Sus scrofa: one gene and its partners. The protein of the gene in region 2 interacts with the protein of the main gene of each other region in a pairwise test. Links are inferred from orthologs where the notes say so. Each region holds a gene or a part of one and is shown on either strand. Other genes may lie near its edges. The genes, in order: PEX10, PEX19, PEX11B and PEX12.

Evidence for each region.
Region 1: the proteins of PEX19 (region 2) and PEX10 interact in a two-hybrid assay, tested with the Homo sapiens proteins (4 studies listed by BioGRID and IntAct, with this or other methods). The link is inferred for Sus scrofa from reciprocal best matches to the Homo sapiens genes PEX19 and PEX10.
Region 3: the proteins of PEX19 (region 2) and PEX11B interact in binary tests that used the Homo sapiens proteins (3 or more experiments, as listed by UniProt). The link is inferred for Sus scrofa from reciprocal best matches to the Homo sapiens genes PEX19 and PEX11B.
Region 4: the proteins of PEX19 (region 2) and PEX12 interact in a two-hybrid assay, tested with the Homo sapiens proteins (4 studies listed by BioGRID and IntAct, with this or other methods). The link is inferred for Sus scrofa from reciprocal best matches to the Homo sapiens genes PEX19 and PEX12.

The regions. Positions count from the first base shown.
Region 1 is NC_010448.4:64,314,873-64,319,435, reverse strand, and holds the start of PEX10 (peroxisome biogenesis factor 10), read left to right. Parts: upstream 1-1,757; 5' UTR 1,758-1,866; coding exon 1,867-1,978; intron 1,979-2,897; coding exon 2,898-2,978; intron 2,979-3,313; coding exon 3,314-3,720; exon of another isoform or gene 3,721-4,563.
Region 2 is NC_010446.5:90,195,554-90,200,041, forward strand, and holds the start of PEX19 (peroxisomal biogenesis factor 19), read left to right. Parts: upstream 1-1,432; 5' UTR 1,433-1,437; coding exon 1,438-1,621; intron 1,622-3,039; coding exon 3,040-3,149; exon of another isoform or gene 3,150-3,366; coding exon of another isoform or gene 3,367-3,462; intron 3,463-3,564; coding exon 3,565-3,730; intron 3,731-4,212; coding exon 4,213-4,298; intron 4,299-4,488. UniProt on the Homo sapiens protein: Necessary for early peroxisomal biogenesis. Acts both as a cytosolic chaperone and as an import receptor for peroxisomal membrane proteins (PMPs).
Region 3 is NC_010446.5:99,413,906-99,418,318, reverse strand, and holds the start of PEX11B (peroxisomal membrane protein 11B), read right to left. Parts: upstream 2,917-4,413; 5' UTR 2,866-2,916; coding exon 2,810-2,865; intron 2,020-2,809; coding exon 1,904-2,019; intron 937-1,903; coding exon 735-936; intron 1-734. Other genes in the region: GNRHR2 (gonadotropin-releasing hormone (type 2) receptor 2), read left to right, coding at 3,491-4,000. UniProt on the Homo sapiens protein: Involved in peroxisomal proliferation. May regulate peroxisome division by recruiting the dynamin-related GTPase DNM1L to the peroxisomal membrane. Promotes membrane protrusion and elongation on the peroxisomal surface.
Region 4 is NC_010454.4:39,930,292-39,934,605, forward strand, and holds the start of PEX12 (peroxisome assembly protein 12), read left to right. Parts: upstream 1-1,388; 5' UTR 1,389-2,861; coding exon 2,862-2,987; intron 2,988-3,548; coding exon 3,549-4,102; intron 4,103-4,314. UniProt on the Homo sapiens protein: Component of a retrotranslocation channel required for peroxisome organization by mediating export of the PEX5 receptor from peroxisomes to the cytosol, thereby promoting PEX5 recycling.

The DNA of each region.
Region 1 (4,563 bases), on a different chromosome or scaffold from region 2:
GCCAGTGAGAAGACAGGGGAGGATGCTGTCCTGGGCAGGGAGCTGGGACCTGCCAGTGGGGTGCGGTGCCCAGGGAAGTGCCCACCCCTCAGGCTTCCTGAAGGAGCCAGCTGGTGATCTTGAGAAAGGGGACAAAACCTCCTCCAGGGAGTTCGCATCGTGGCTCAGCAGTAACGAAGCCAACTAGTAGCCATGAGGATGAGGGTATGATCCCTGGCCTTGCTCCATGGGTGAAGGATCAGGCGTTGCTGTGAGCTGTGGTGTAGGTCACAGACGCAGCTCAGATCCCGTGTCTCGTGAGCTGTGGTGTAGGCCGGCACCTGTAGCTCCGAGTAGATCCCTAGCCTAGGAATTTCCATATGCCACAAGCGTAGACCTAAAAAAGACCAACAAATAAAAATAAAAAATAAAAAATACTCCAGCTCCAACTTGGTGCCAGTGGACACAGGCCAGGGCGTCTCTGTGGTCAGGAAGGAGCAGTGTGTTTCAGCCTGTTGGGTGAGGACTGACCAGAAATTTCTGAGGCATCAGTGTCTCCCCCAGGCCCCGCTTGTGAGTCTGTCCACCCCAGGCTGGAAGCCAAAGGAGCAGGCAGCCTCTGCGTTCAGGAAACAGGGTGTACCCACAGGCAGGGGTGCCACTCTGAAGGGACAGAGGCGCTTCATTAGCAGGAAGGACTGTGGGACCATCCAGCTTCTGCCCCTTCCCTCTAAGAGCTGCCTACAGCTGTGGGGCCCCGATAAGCTCTAGACTGTGCCCACAGCTCAATTCCAGGGGGTTGAGCTGCACCAGCCTGGGCACGTACCCACAGCTGATGCCGGGATACAGGAGCAGAAGTGAAGCCAAGAGCTGCAGCCTGTCTCAAGCCACGGCCTGCTGGCCAAAGTCACTGCTGGTGACTCCCCCACCCCCTAGGTTCACCTGCATTTTTTCTCTCCTGCTGGTCCCACAGCCCCCCCTTTGTGCCCACAGGACGGGGCCCTTTTTCACTGGGACCCCTCTGGTCTGGGGCACAGATGCAGATGTTGTGACCTGCTCCAGGCCCAGAGCCCTCAGGGTGCCCCACTTCCTCCTCCCACTGTCCTCCCCCGGGGCTCCTCCCTGGGTCCTCCTTGCAGCTCAAATCCAGCTGTGCCTGTGCCCAGGTGCTAGTCTCTCCTACCTCTGTCCCCCCTAGTGCATGGCCTCCCAAGGCCCCCAAGTCTCCCTCGGTCCCACTTATGAGAGCAGCTCAGAGAGGTCAGGGGTCTGCACTTGTGGGGCCTGGGGGGCCACCAGTATAAACACCGTAGTTCAAGAATCCGTACTCCTGGCCCCGCCCTGGGCCCCAGATCCTATTCCGCCAGCCCGCGGGGGGCGGGGGGTGGTCGCAGGGATTAGAGCACAAGGGATGCCAGCACCCCGCGGAGGGCACTGCAAGGAGAGGGAGCAACGCCCTCCTCACTTCCTGCCCCAGAGAGCGGACGACTGTCTCCGCACCGGGGAGGGCGCCCGCGCCGGCTCTGACGTTCCTCGCAATACCTGAGGGCTGTCCCCATGGCCCCTCGCCCCCATGCCCCGCCTATCCGCCCCTCCTGCTCTGCGCCTGCCCTCCCCCGGGCCGCGATCGCCCCGCACAGACCCGACCCGGCACAGAGCCGGGCGGGCTCGGCTTTGGCCTCTGCCGCCCCGCCCCGCCCCGCCCCGCCCCGCCCCGCCCCGCCCCGCCCCGCCGGCTCGGCCCCGCCCCGCGCGCTGTGACGCTCAAGGTCTGTGCCGCGCGCCACGCCGAGCCCGAGCCCCGGCCGTCATCTGGCGCCGCCGCGTGGGCGTGGCCGTCTCCGTGTCGCCGAGGCCGCAGGTCCCTTCGACTCCAAGCCCTCGGCGATGGCTCTTACGGCCGCCAGCCCCCCGGAGGTGGTCCGTGCGGCGCAGAAGGACGACTACTACCGCGGCGGGCTGCGGAGTGCGGCGGGCGACGCCCTGCACAGCCTGGCGGGTGAGGCCTCTGGGGGGGCCCGCGGGTGGTCCTGGGCGCCAGGCTGGGGGGCCAGGCGGGCGGACGAGCCCCAAACCCGTCGGCTCGGCCACCGCGGGCTCGGCCAGGCCCTGCGCGCCGCGCTGAGACCTGAGCTGCAGGAAGAAGCGAGCGCCTCGGTCTTCGCCCCCGGCTGCCGGGGGCGGGGTGGGGATCAGGCGCCAGCTGTGGGAGCGTCCACGGCTCTGGGGACACACGAAGGCCCCCGTTGAGCAGCGGCAGTGGAGCCCAGTGGACGGACGAAAGCCTGGGGTGGATTTTGGCCCACAGCTGGGCTGCTACTCGGAACAGCCGAGGCGAGGCCGGACCGTAGATTCGGGACTTGGGTGGCCGTCAGCAGGGAGGCACCCACTTGTGTATTTATTTTTGCTAATTTTTTGCCTTACTTTGTGTCAGACCCTGTTCTCTGTGCTTCAGAACATTAACTTCTTTTATTCTGAACACATCCCTGCAAGTTAGGACCTGTTACTGACAGGGAAATGTTGTAACTTGCCTGAGGTCACTGCCATTGTTGTGGGGAGCTAGGATTTGATGCTGGACGGTGGGCTCAGCTTGAGCTTCTGGTCACTGTACTACCCCGTCTGTCCTTGTGGCCCTTCTGGGCTCTGGAACAGTTGCCCAGGTGGGTCCTGGAGGGGGAGAGGGCTGTTGGTGGGTAGGTTCTCAGGACACTCAGCGGCCCAGGTGAGGCAGGTATGGATGGAGCAGAGTGGACAGCACAGAAGGCCAGGGAGAGAACAGAGTGTGGTTTAGACCAGTCTCAGCCATTGGAGCGGGGACTGGGCGGGGCCCTGGCAGCAGGAGAGAGAGCTGTTTCTAATTCTCACCAGCGCACCGCCTCACCCCCCGGCCCTCAGTAACAGGCTCTCTCTTCTCTCAGGTGCGAAGAAGTGGCTGGAGTGGAGGAGAGAGCTCGAGCTGGTGTCGGATGTAGCCTACTTCGGCCTCACCACACTTGCAGGTAGCAGCCCCAGGCGGGACCGAAGGACCCACGACACACCCAGAGGACAGGAGAGGGGCTGCCAGCCAAGGAAGGAGCTTCTGGAGGTGCTTCCTGGTGTCCCTGGCCCAGACCAGCCTCAGGGAAGCAGAGCCCCTTCCCTGGATGAGAGGCCAGGCCCAAACCCAGGCCAGGGCCCCTGGAAACTGAGAGTCCTGTCATGCAGGCCCCGGGACTGTGTGTCTGTGGCTGAACTCATGGCCCCGGGGGCCCGCCCTGAGGGAGCCTCGTCTTTTAGAGGAGGGGCGGCCGTGGTAGAGGGAAGGAGATTGCTGCCAGGTCCCCATCCCCCACAGGCTACCAGACCCTTGGGGAAGAGTACGTCAGCGTCGTCCAGGTGGACCCGTCCCAGAGCCGAGTGCCCTCCAGGCTGCGCCGCGGGATCCTGGTGGCTCTGCACACCGTCCTGCCCTACGTGCTGGACAAGGCCCTGCTCCACTTGGAGCACGAGCTGCAGGTGGCCGGCGACAGCACCCGGCCCACGCAGGGCAGCCTGGCGCCCACTGCACGCAGCCAGTCAGCCCCAAGGCGCTGGGTGCGCAGGCGGACGGCCACCCTGACGGAGCAGCAGCAGAGGGCGCTTCTGCAGGCCGCGGGGATGCTCAGGCAGGTCCTTGGCTGCCTCCGGCGGCTCCACGTTGCCTGGTTCTACATCCACGGTGCCTTCTACCACCTGGCCAAGAGGTTCACTGGCATCACCTATGTAAGTAACTGGTGCCACCTGGACCTGCTCGGTTCTGGCTCATCAGCAGGGAGCTGGCTTTTCCGGGCCTCTGTCCACGAGCAGTCACAGGCCTGGAGCCAGAACCTTCCATGGGAAACATGGGTTGTGTCGGCTCCATTTTGCCAAAAGGCCCACGGAAGTCTGCTTTCCATAAACCCTGAAGGTCGGGCTGGTCTGTCTTCCTGCAGCCTGCGCTTGAACTCTGTGCCAGGCCTGCCTCCCACGCCCCTTCCAGGCTGCCCGCCAGAGTCAGGTATAGGGACCCCGGTGGTGACCCCGCAGCAACCACGAGGCCACCCTGCTGCCAGCATCCCCACCGGTCTCCACCCTCCACCTGCAGATGCCCCTTCCCTTCGGGGTCTCAGCTGCCGCCCTTGCTTCCAGATTCACCCTGAAGGCCTCCCCAAGGGTCTGCAGGCGCCCCGCCCCAGGCCTCGCTGTGCCGGCTCTGTTGGTTGAGGTGTTTGCTGAGCTGCTGCAACAGACACAGGGTGCATCCAGTCAGGGTGTCAGGCTCCAGGCTCCAGCTGTGTGGCTGACCTGACTGTCCCCACTTCCAGCCAAGGCAAGGAGATGGACGTGCAGGGCAGGCCCCTCCCCCTCGAGGATGTGGCCTCAGTGTCCTCAGCTGCAGGAGGGGCCGGGTGGTGCCTCGCTCTGTTCCTTGGACAGGGCCACGCAGCCGTGTCTGCAACACTGAGCCCGCGCCTGTCCACTGGGTGTGCTCCTCAGGCTCGTTTGCCTCCGAGGTCTGGGTGCCTGGCCGTCCCCCTCACCCTGCGGTCCTCCCTGCAGCCAGTGTGACCTGCAGAGTCTGACCCC
Region 2 (4,488 bases):
TTTACTGCAAGAGTGCAGCTTGACTTATCTCTCCATCCTCCACTATGCCCAGCGCAGGATTTTTTAAAATGTTTTTTATTTTTTTTGGAGTTCCCCGTCGTGGCTCAGTGATTAACGAATCCAATTAGGAACCATGAGGTTGAGGGTTCAATTCCTGGCCTCACTCAGTGGGTCAAGGATCCGGCGTTGCCATGAGCCGTGGTGTAGGTCACAGATGTGGCTCGGATCCCACCCACGTTGCTGTGGCTCTGGCGTAGGCTGGCGGCTACAGCTCTGATTAGACCCCTAGCCTGGGAACCTCCATATGCTGCGGGTGCAGCCCTAGAAAAGACAAAAAGACAAAAAAAAAAATATTTTTGCTACACCCGCAGCATGCATAAATTCCCAGGCCAGGGATTGAACCGGAGTCACAGCAGTGACAACACCAAATCTTTAACCACTAGACCACCAGGGAACTCCTAGCACAGGATCTTAAACAAGAGTAGATGCCTTGTAAGTGCTAAAATAGGTTTTCCTGAGGCAGTTGATGCATTCTGACAAATCTGAATAGAACAATTCCAGAGGAGGGAAGGGAAGTCTGGAGTTGTCTTTTATCTGAGCATCCCCCAACTTCATTGGGTTGAGTCCTGTGAAGAGAAAAGACAATAGGTCAAAGAAGGCAGGTTTATTACTACTGCATTCCAGTTGCCCTCTTCACTTAAGTCCAAGGTCCGAGAGTCACTTACTCCCTGGTTCAACTAACATTGGGTTCTAAGTTCTTGTGACATTTCTAATGGAGAATACAAAATGAGAGCTATCCACTAGATTCTGCAGAGAAGCATGCCTCACTAGAGCCTTGGAGAGCAAAGAGCAGCCAATGAGTGCCCACTAAGTTTTGGGCCCTAGCCAAGGAGCCGGGGTTACAGCAGTGAAGACAAGAGATGAAATCCTTTCTGTCATGGTGCTTTAATTCCAAGGAGCCTGGGGGAGAGACAATAAAGATAAATCAGTAAAATATGTAATATGTCAGATAGTGGTTAAGTGTTGAAAAAAAGAGGCGAAGTAGAGAGGAAGCATCTGTAAGTGTATGGGAGGGGTTGCAATTTTATTTAATGAGGCCAAAGAAGGCATTTCCGAGAAGGTGGCATTTCAGTAACATACTGAAGAAAGTGAGAGGAAAATAGCATATTGGCTGTGCCATAACTGTCTTACTGATTATACATGCATAGCTTTTAGTTTGCACGCAATTTGTCCCAGTCGACCTACCCGCAGCTCAAAAAAATAATGAAAGGCCCAATTCTGTAGGTAATGTGGGCAGTTGAAAGAAAGGAGGCCGGGCCAGTAAAAACCCTGACAGAAGATAACAGTAAATTCCCCTCTGTTGGTTCAGTGTTCCCGGAGAAAGAGGCGGGGAGAGGGGAACCCCAAACAAAAACAAAGGTTCCTGTACCTTTAAAAATGGCGGCCCCTCGGGCCAACAATATCATTGGTTGCACGAGGCAGGGGGGCAGGAACTGGGGGGCGCACGGCGCCGCGCAGTCCCGCCTCCTACGGCAAGTCGGAGGTGGCAAGATGGCCGCCGCTGGGGAGGGTGGTGGTGTTGGGGCTGAAGCGGACCGGGAATTGGAAGAGCTTCTGGAAAGTAAGAACCCGTAATAGAAAAGGCCTGAAGGGCGGGAGGTGTGAGGACGCATTCAGGGGGCCAAGTGAATCCGAGATAAAGGAGGCGGAGCGGGAGAGGCTCTTCAGAGGTTGGGCGGGGGCGGAGGGTCTGACTGCGACCCCCTAGAAAATCTCTAGGTCACCCTCTCCTTCCTCCTTGGCGGAGGCTGAGGATCGCATTTGCGTCCCTGTGCGGCCTAGACGGTTGATCTCCTTGCCGGAAGGGAAACTAGTCCAGAGGACGATGTTTCGGGATCCCGCTCCAAACTCCCCCTACTTTAGTAAGTTCTTGGAAGCCTAACTTTCTTCCCGCCAGCAACCACATTCGGTGCTCGGTGGGCAGAGAACTGGACACCCATGGGATTGCCTCCATTAACTCTTAGCAAGCCCGAAGCGTGCCTTTATGTGCAGTATCCTGTCCTCCTTAACACAAAAGACACGTCTTTTCCTTTTCCCAGACCTTTTTCGCACCAGGCTCCTTTCCAATTTTTTCATCATTTCAGAGCTCAAACCCATTCCTATCTCTTTAATTTGAGAACCAGAGTGAGACTGCCTCAGGGGAAGGCAGTTCACCCTCTCGAAAGTGGGTGGCGGAACTTTTCTTCCTTAGCCCCATCCACCACTCCTCTTTTGGTTTCTTGCCCAGAGTGGGGCCAGTGCCCTACCCCTAGGCCTGGCAAGCAGGGTGATGGTGAGGACACAGGCTTTTCAGGGAAGAGGTGAATATTTTTTGTCTCTTGCTGAGTCACAGAGATGTGAGCAGGTGGAAAGACGAACAGAAACGGTGAGAAGTGCCAGGCGACTGTGTGAATTGGCAGACACGGGTGTAGGCAGAGATGAGGCCAAAGGGAGCTCTAGGAGCTTTGGAGAGGGAGAGCTAAATTGAAAGATAAAAGAAGAGAATTCAGTGCCCTCCAATGGTGTGTAATATGGAGTCTCTCAGCTTGTACAAGGACCTATGCGAAGCTAGGTGAAACATCTTGTGGCTTCTGCTCTCTTGCCCAAGATTACTCCCTTGAGGGCTCCAGAGTGAGTTCAGAGGGTTAAGGACATCTGGTCTCTGCCTCCCTTGGATATTTGCATGGGATTTCTAGGGAATCATTAAAGTATGGCAGAGAAGGCACTGTGTCGGTGGAGGTGTCTCTGCAAATCTTTTAACTCTTCTCCTAACTCCAAGAGAGATGCTTGTTCCACCTTGAGGGATGTCTTCCCCTTTATCACATTAAATTAGACAATAGGTAGGGAAGTGGGAGGCTTATTGAGGGGTGGGCTGGGAGACTTTTAAAGGAGAAAATTTTAGGAAAGTTGACAGTTTGTACTCTTAATGTTTTGCCCAGAAACTCCCAACCTTTCATCCTCATCCATCCCCAAAACACCCCATGTTTCTTGTCTCTGAAGGTGCTCTTGATGATTTCGATAAGACCAAACCCTCCCCAGCACCCCCTCCTACCACCACGGCCCCTGATGCTTCGGGGCCTGAGAAGAGATCTCCAGGAGACACTGCCAAAGTATAAATTCCACTCGCTTAAGGGATGGGGAGGGGATGGGCATGCAGCTCTGGGCAGAGGTGGGGAAGGCCCCTGTGGGCCAAAGGGGAGTTGGGGGAGGGTGCCTTGGCCTTACATTGCAAAGTGCTCTTGCAGGCCTCAGTCCTCATGAAACAGGAACTTGAGATTGAGGGGAGGGATCTCAAGGTTAAGTTCCTTAAGAAGAGAGCAGATTTAAATGGTTGGATTGGGAATGCCACTCCATACCCTTCCCTCAGTGGCCAGATGCCTTTTTGCTGTCCTCTTTAAGAGAGGTGGTCAATGTCCAGTGGAGGTGAGTAGGAGGGGAGCACTACATTTCCTAGAGCTTCTCTCAGAGGCCATGTGCAGTGAGTTGCCAAGTAAGAGATGCATTTTGGTCACATCTCCCCTGCAGGATGCCCTCTTCGCCTCCCAAGAGAAGTTTTTCCAGGAGCTGTTCGACAGCGAGTTGGCTTCCCAAGCCACTGCAGAGTTCGAGAAGGCAATGAAAGAGTTGGCTGAGGAAGAGCCCCACCTGGTAGAGCAGTTCCAAAAGCTCTCAGAGGCTGCTGGGAGAGTGGGTGAGAAGGGGGCCCTAGACAACTAGAAATATCTGAACAAACCTCTTAGGTCATTGTTTCTTGAGAACACCAAAATTTTTTTGTAAAGTTGATAGTAATTATGATATCACTGCCATCACAACCATGTCACTGATATCACTGAAGGGAGGAGATGGGAGGAGAAATGAGACCCTGTTTAATGAAAGGGGTAGTTGGGAAATGATAGTTTGGGAAGTAACAGATGAAATTATTGACAGCTGACCATTTTAAAGGTCACAGTGTTAATGTGGGTGTCACTGTGGAGAACAGACTGACACACAGTCCACATAGATTTGTGAAAATAACTGTGGAGATAACCATAGAAAATTCAAAGATGTAGCGTGCCAGTGATTCACTAATAAATGCTCCATATTCAAGCTGGAGTATTCAAGATTGACCAGGTCAGTCTAGGCAAGCAAACAGTTGAAATCAGAAATGGCCTTGACTCTTTTTATCTCTCCTAGGCAGTGATGCGACTTCCCAACAAGAATTCACTTCTTGCCTAAAGGAGACATTAAGTGGACTAGCCAAGAATGCCACCGACCTTCAGGTGAGGGGAAAGAGATAGGGAACCACAAGGGGCCCACTCGCAGGCACTTCACCAGCAGAGTCTCAAAAGACAGACTCCCTTGAGTATCACCTCAAGTCTGTCCCTGCCTCACTATTTTGCTACAGGCAAGTTTAAACAGTTCTTTCCCACCTGAAAGATTGCTCAGCATCCCAGGAAGGCAGTATACTTG
Region 3 (4,413 bases), about 9.2 Mb from region 2:
GCCCCTGTCTATCTCTCCAGTTTGAACTTAAGTCCTTACTCAATACTGGCTTTCTTTCTATGTCTCTAATTCCATTAAGAACACACTGGCTTTCTTTCTATGTCTCTAATTCCATTAAGCCTTTCTTGGTTCAAGGTCTTAGAATGTGCTATATTCTGTTTGGAATGGTCTTCTCTGCTACTGTTTGCTTTGTATAACTTCTACTCAGAAATAAAATTTAATTTTCTCAAAGAGTTCTTCCTTGACCTTTTGATCTACATTAGCTCCCCTTGTTAGATACCTCATGAGATTCTACACTTTTCCACAAATATATGGTTTGGTGATTACTTGTTTTAAATAACTGACTCCCCTACTAGACTAGAAGCTTCATGAGAGCATGAACCATTCCTATTTGACTCTTTGCTTTATTATTCCCTGGCTCACAGTAAGCAGCTACTAAATATTTTTAGAATGAATGAATTAGCAGGCAGTGAGGGACATAAACTGTTTTACAGATAGAAGCCAAATTAAAGTAATATTATTAATATCTCATTTTGCCCAATCTTAGTCACCCATCATGAGAGAGCATCTGTCTTCCATCTGCTCCCATTCATGATTCTCTGATGGTTTAAGATCTAAATGAAAGATTAAGTGATTAAGATGTATATGTGCTGGGATAGATTGTTCTCTCATGAATGGTGGGCTATACAGTATGGAGAATATAAAAAGTCTTGCAGGACAAAAGCATATCAAACCTGAATGAACGCTGGGCCCACTTCTCCTGATCCACACGGGGAACAAGTCCAGACTTTCCGGCCCACAGGACATTATCGCAGGCGAAGTACAAAGCTCTATTAAGGTGACTAACAGTGATGCAGAATCTCAGGACAACATCTGATAGATGCACAGCTCGTTTGGCTGACTCAAGGGCATCTGCTGAGTTACCGAGGCGTAGAACTTGTGGGGATTAGAAAGGAAAAGCAAAAATTTGGGAGGAGAGAGGCAAACAGAGAGTGAGACAGAAAGAAAGAAAGAAAGAAAGAAAGAAAGAAAGAAAGTGAAAGTCGAGCAAGTGATAGAAACAATAATAACAATTTAAAAGAAAAGCGGAAACAGTTCATTCTTTTTTACAAGTTTTAATTAATTTCTGTGGCACTAGTTTTCTCAAATTTGCCCTGTTCTCTCCAATCCTTCATTACTCTTACCCCTGCTCTTTTATCTTACTCAGGAGACATGCAGAAGATAAGTGCAAGGGCAAATGAGGGACAATTGGAAGAAAAGGTCAAAAACAGGAAGGAAGTTCTCTTGCGGTTAAGAGGGTCAAGGATCTAGAGTTGTCACTGCAGTGGCTCTGTTCACTGCTGTGGCGTGGGTTCGATCCCTGGCCCAGGAAATTCCACATGCAAAACAAAAACAAAACACCCCAAAAAACAGGGCAGAACAAAGGAAGAATAGCTGGGGAGGGAGGAAGTGTTAAAATAATGAAAAGGCATGGAGTTCCCGTCATGGCGCAGTGGTTGGCGCATACGACTAGGAACCATGAGGTTGCGGGTTTGGTCCCTGCCCTTGCTCAGTGGGTTGACGATCTGGCGTTGCCATGAGCTGTGGTGTAGGTTGCAGACGCAGCTCGGCTCCCGCGTTGCTGTGGCTCTGGCGTAGGCTGGCAGCTACAGCTCCGATTGGACCCCCAGCCTGGGAGCAGCCCAAGAAATGGCAAAAAGGCAAAAAAAAAAAAAAAAGAAAAAAAAGAAATAAAATAATGAAAGGACAGGAACAGCTTTTTTTGTTTCTTTTTCTATTTTTAAGCTGCCCAGGAGGATGGAGAGGTCCCTGGGCCAGGGACTGAACCTGCACCACTGAAATGACAAAGCAGAACCCTTAACCACCACGCCACCAGGGAACTCCAAGAGGCATGGTTACTTACGCTTTCTTCCTAGGCTCAGATGACCCTCCAGCTGTCGAATCTGTTTCTGTAACTCAGGACTGGCCCCATGTTTCTGTAGGGCATGGCCAAGAAGGGAGCAAGCATATTGGGCGGCCCTGGAGGAGAGAGTGAGCGGTAATGTAAGGTGGAGACCTCCCTAATCTCCCCCTCAAAAACGTCCTCCTAAAGGCAAGTCTGGATTCCCCCTTTTTCCAATTTGAGACTACTCCCTTTCCTCCTCAAGCTCTATCTCCAGGCAGGGGAAAAGAAAGGCATAAGGATAAAAAGGAGCCTCGAAGAGTTTGGGTAGCACTACTTAGAATTGAGAAAATAAGAGATTTGACTACATGAGGCCCGAAGAGGACAAGGTGGCAAGGCGTCCATCACAAGCACTTCTAGTGTGAACATGTGTGTGTCCACGTGAGGGAGTGGGGGATAGCTGGAGGGGAAATTCTTCAGAAAGGTGAACTGAGAGATTTCCAAGGCTCTTGAGGGGAATCGAGACTAGAAGGCAGGACGGAGGCAGAAGAGTTCGCGGGTCAGTAGGATGAGGGGACACGGAAACTTCGGAGCGACTGGTCAGCTCTGGGGACAGAGTTCAGGTCGCTATCAACCACGGGGCGGATGCTCCTCACGCCACCACCACCCGGCGAGGGAAGTATTAGTCTCATGTGAACGCGCATCCCTGAGCGACCTCCCCGCTGGCCCACTCGTGCCTCAGTTTTCCCATCTTTCCCGTGAGCAAAAACGAATCACGGCCTCACGGCTGGTTCAAATCAACCCCTCGCGGTCCGTCCGGGCCCCCGTAGCCCAAGATGACCCTTTTTGACCCCCGTAGTGTGAACTGTCCTCGCTTCACGAGGACCTTCCTCTGCCCGCCCTCCCCCATTCCTGTTCGGGCCGCACCTACACAGCCGCTCCCGGGCCTGGCTCTGAGCGCTGAAGCGGACCCAGGCGTCCATGACAGCGGCGGCCCCGGCTCCGCAGCCCCACCCCCGCCCACTTCCCGCCCCTAGTCACGCCTACCGGACGGCCCAACGGTGTCGCGCAAGGGACAAACATCGTCAAAAAGAAATTTGAACGGAGCCAGCCACAGAAGCGGAGTTTCGGAACTAGAAGCACTTGTCTCTGGGCCTACACCTGCGTGTTTTTGTGGGTGCCTCCGTTAGCTCGCCTTCTTATCAGCTGATCTCTATTTCCTAAGTACGCCTCCAGAGGCACATTCTTCTTTAAACATTCGAGGCCAAGGGCGGGGCTTGCAGGATGGGGGGCGGAGCGAGAAGGTGCCGCAGTGCTCTTGCCGCGGCCGCTAGGATAAGGTTTCCCCTAATTTAGGATGCCCTAGGGGCTTGAGAAGTCTGTGGAAGTAAAAGCCAGCACCAGATCCCTGTTCCCTGCAGGATTCTAACACTTGGACCGATGACCTCCAGAATACATACGGAGAATCTCCAGATTCAGAGGCTTTAGTGGACTAAGTTCGCGAAATAACCAACTCCAGATCCTGAAAAGGAAAGAAGAATGAGTGGATTCAGCTAACCTCTTCAAACCCACACTTCATCCCCCCATCCCTTTCCCTTCCATGTCACCATGTCTGCAGGCAATGGCACCCCTTTGGGGTCAGCAGTGGGGGAAGAGGTCTGGGCGGGATCAGGAGTAGAGGTGGAGAGCTCAGAGCTACCCACCTTCTCAGTTGCAGCTAAGGTCCGGGTTGGAGTGACCGTTGTGCTATTTGTTTCTTCGGCTGGAGGAAACCTGGCCGTACTGTGGTCGGTGACACGGCCGCAACCCAGCCAGCTCCGCCCCTCTCCGGTACGACGACTTTTTGCTCATTTAGCAGCTGCCGATTTACTGGTTACTTTTGTGGTTATGCCCCTAGATGCCTCCTGGAATATCACTGTTCAGTGGCTGGCCGGGGACATCGCATGTCGAACACTCATGTTCCTGAAACTAATGGCCATGTATGCCGCAGCTTTCCTGCCTGTGGTCATTGGGCTCGACCGCCAGGCAGCCGTACTACACCCGCTTGGACCCCGCTCAGCTGGAAGGAAACTTCTGGGGGCAGCCTGGCTACTCAGTTTCCTTCTTGCCTTGCCTCAGGTGAGTAACTTGTCGGGACTCAGGGCTACACCGGACAAGAATTTGGGTGCACCACATGAGCCTTCAGATTCAAGGAGCGTGCTTGGCCGTGGTCACCATTAATCCTCAACGGAGAGACTCTGCTATCTCTTCCGCAAGTTAAGATCATTAATTTGTATTTTCTGCTACAAGCCTTTATTTTTACTACAGTTGGCTTCCATTTTTTTGTATCCTCCTAATCCCACCTTCTCCGCTTTCTTTGGATTATTGCAAAAAAAATTCTAGGGCATGGAGGAAACATACATGGGAAGACATTAAGAAGACAGTGAAATCAGGGGCTTTGGGTAAAACTTTGCGGTACCTTCATTCATCAGTTCAAAAAAATAATGTGCATCCTCCAGGTGCATTCAAATGCTCTATCAAGCATAGAGCAA
Region 4 (4,314 bases), on a different chromosome or scaffold from region 2:
CCATATTGAACCTGATGACTCTTAATAACTTTAAATGCAATCAATTTTGGGGTCTTATTTATTACATCATAAACCTAAGAGTGGGATCTATGATTAGGTGTTTATTTTTTGTTGGCTGTAGTAATTGACTTTTTTTTTTTTAACTGCCTTTCCCTTTTCTCATGTGATAATGTCAGTTTATTTTTGGAATAGTCTCAATGGGCTATTAAGTTGTCTTGCCATCTTTTGTCTAAGAGTGAAACAGGGAGTGGTGAGGAAATCCGAACCAAGGTAGGTCACAAGGAATCTGAATTGTAAGTACAGGGACAGAAAGAAATTTGTTGAACCTCATTCACGGCAACAATGATGCCTAGATGAGACTTTGCTAATTCTTGCGAGAAACATCCAGTAGGGCTGTATAATTACTGTACTTTCAGAGTTGGCTTTCCTTATTTTGTTAGCTACTCCATATTCTTCCGATAATTTTTTTAGTTTAAATTAGCTGTTTTCTGTTGCTTGTAGCCAAAAACCATAACTGATACAAGTTTAACTAACTTCCCATTCATCTTAGTTGATGCTATTTCTCAGCTTTGTCTTTTTGCTGTTACTTAAGAAAAGCCCATTTGTAACAGCTACCTTTGATCACATATCTAATGCCAAGTGCTTTATACATTACTCCAGTCCTTAAAACTCTGTAAGGTGTTCCCCTTGTGTCACAGCAGAAATGAATCCAACTAGTATCCATGAGGATGTGGGTTCCATCCCTGGCCTTGCTCAGAGGGTCGGGGATCTGGCATTGCCATGACCTGTGGTGTAGGTCACAGACATGGCTGGGATTCCACGTTGCTGTGGCTGTGGTGTAGGCTGGCAGCTGTAGTTCTGATTTGACCCCTAGCCTGGGAATTTCTATATGCCACTGGTATAGCCCTAAAAAGAAAAAACAAAAAACAAAAAAAACCTCTATAAGGTAAAACTCTTACATTAACGTGACTTTCTCCTGCAGGCGTTTTAGCAGAATATAAAACACTTTGTAGAACTAAAATCAAGGTTAACTTGCAAGATTTTATTTCTCCTCTTTGGATAATAAACTTTGTTTTCCACCATTCTCATTCTGTGAAACAATTAACTACCTTTATAAGGTCCTCTAAGGCAGTAACTAATAACCTCCTATGGAGTTCCCATTGTGGCTCCGCGGAAACAAATCTGACCAGTAACCATGAGGACACATATTTGATGCCTAGCCTTCCTCAGTGGGTTAAGGATCCGGTGTTGCCCTGAGCTGCGGTGTAGGTCCAAAATGCAGCTCAGATCTGGTGTTGCGTGGCTGCCACGTAGGCCAGTGGCGACGGCTCCAATTCAACAACTAGCCTGGGAATCTCTATGTGCCCTGGGTGCCACCCTGAAACAAAACAAAACAAAACAAATCACCTTCTATTTCTGGTTATTTGGGGGGGGGGAGGGGGCGTTGGAGAGAGAAGGAGATGAACTCTAACTTCATATAAATTAAACCTGCAGCAGCAACTCAACCAAGGCAATTGCATACGATGTAAAAGTACGTTGCAAATCCTAAGGTTAATTACATTCCTTCTGGTATACAAACAACGAAAACTATCTTCTCTGTCAAGCCTCCCCAGTTCACGCTAGTTAGAATTCATCTGATTCGTACCCAATATTCATATCGCTAAGGTAACACAGTCGACTGTGTACGAGCGTAGGAACCAGTTTGAACTAGCGTACCAAGTGCTTACAGTTATGCTTGAAAGAACCTAATCTAGAAGACTCGTCCCAACTTGTGAGTAACAAAAGATCTCTTCTCATCCTAATCATTTTTTTTTCTTTAAATAGCAATTGGCGACCATAAAGCTAAGGCTTCTATCTCCAATTATGTCGCTTCAAATCCTCCCCTAAGGCAGCAGAAAACGGTGAACCACCACCCTCGCCACGAGTACAGCGAGAGCCTTCCATCTTCACATTCCCTTGCGTCCCTCGACTCCTAAACTCGATCGCCCCAGGTAACAAACGCCTCTGTGGGCTGAGTTCTGGCTCCAGCCGCCAAACGTTGGTGCGGCGCCCTCAACACCCTGCTAAAAAGACTCTGCAGAGAGAGATCGGAACCGTAACTTTCCCATGAGGCGGCAAAACAAAAACAACTAGGAAAAGTAAAACCAACCAGCGGAGAACGGCTCTGCAAGCAAAACCCCTAGCGCCTTCTTTACTTTCAGCAGGAGGCGGAAGCGGAAGTCCCAGTGAGGCCATAGAGATCTCTAGTTCCGGTCTCGCGGTCGCATTCCGGGCTAGAGCGCCTCGCCTCGCCTCCGCCAGCCTTCTCCAAGCCCCGTGGTCTATTTCCGGTTGCGGCTTCTGTCATAAAGCGGAGACCTGCTTTCAAACGCTGTGTCGCGGGTCTCTGGCGCTTCGCAGGAGTCAGCGCGCTAGGACGGGAACAGGCGGGGGGGCTGCACTGCTCACAACTGAGCCTGACCGAGCGGACCCTCAGAGCCGCCTGGCTTTTGGAGCCTTTAAGATTGAAGTCTATGATTGACAGCTTCCAGGACTGCGGCTCGAGAGTTCAGCGCTCCTTCGCCCGTACCTGTCCCCCTCTGTCACACGCTCTACCCTGTGAGGTGCAGCATTAATCAAGTCACCCCCTCCCACTCGCCACTGCCACCCGCGTCTGCGTCAACTTGGTTCTTAACCTCCTTCACCCAAGAACCCCTCCCCTCTGCCTCCGGAAAAGGTCTTTTTTTGCCTAGTTCTTGTAAAATTAAGGGGGTATCCTGCAGAAAGTTATCTTCAAAACTGACACCATCTGATACTCCCCAAAAGTTCATGCTTGCTAGGGAGTTTGTGTGCAAAGCAAAACCCAGTGCACACAGGAAACTATGGCTGAACATGGGGCTCACATCACAACTGCTTCTGTAGTGGATGACCAGCCATCCATCTTTGAAGTGGTAGCCCAGGAAAGTTTAATGACAGCAGTGAGACCTGCTCTTCAGCATGTGGTCAAGGTAAGGATTTAATTCCCTGAAACGTTTTAGAGATGTCTGGGTAAAAACTAAACCAACATTTTTGAATGTATTTGTTGGCCTAAGTTTTTTTTGTTTTGTCTTTTTGCCTTTTCTAGGGCTGATTCCCGTGGCACATGGAAGTTCCCAGGCTAGGGGTCTAATCAGAGCTGTAGCCACCGGCCTAGCCACAGCCACAGCAATGCAGGATTCCGAGCAGCGTCTGTGATCAACACCACAGCTCACGGCAATGCCGGATCCTTAACCACTGAGCAAGGCCAGGGATCGAACCTGCAACCTCATGGTTCCTAGTCGGATTCGTTAACCACTGCGCCAGCACAGGAACTCCTGTTGGCCTAAGTTTTGAAATAACCAGTTTGCATATAATTCATATCCTATGATTTAACTGTTACTCGGGTCTCTGTTTTGTGTTGAGTGTTGTGTGTACTCAATACCCAGCACTTAAGGAAGCTTAAAATAGAATTTAGAGGGGAAAAAAAAGGAATTATAAATACAAGGCATAGTATATGTGTAATTAAATTTCGTTTATTTATTTTGCTTTAGGTTCTTGCAGAATCAAATCCTGCCCACTATGGCTTCTTTTGGAGATGGTTTGATGAAATTTTTACCGTGCTGGATCTTTTGCTCCAGCAGCATTATCTGTCTAAAACCAGTGCCTCGTTTTCTGAAAACTTTTATGGCTTAAAGAGGATTGTAATGGGAGACACACAGAAGCTTCAGAGATTGGCCAGTGCTGGTCTCCCAAAGAGGCAGCTCTGGAAGTCAATTATGTTCCTGGTTCTTCTTCCCTATCTGAAAGTGAAGCTGGAGAAGCTAGTTTCCAGCCTGAGAGAAGAGGATGAATATTCCATCCATCCCCCTTCTTCCCGCTGGAAGCAATTTTACAGAGCCTTCCTGGCAGCCTACCCATTTGTTAACATGGCCTGGGAAGGCTGGTTTCTAGTACAACAGCTTCAGTACATCCTAGGAAAGGCTCAGCATCACTCACCACTGCTGAGTCTGGCTGGAGTTCGCCTTGGGAGGCTTACAGTTCATGATATACAAGCTCTGGAGCACAAACCAGCTGAAGCCAGCATGATGCAGCAACCTGCTGGGAGGTAAGACCTTAACATTTCCCCCAAATCTTTGATTGATAAATTCTAAAAGCTTATCCAAATTTTATGAAACTCACCTCTCTCAGTCCACGTGGAGGTATTTCATAAAATCAGAGAAAAAAATTCTTGTGTCCATAAAACAAGGACTGTCATCCCGGTAACCTTCCTCATACTGGCTACATGTTTGTCCACACTCGCTAAAGGAAACTGTGCTA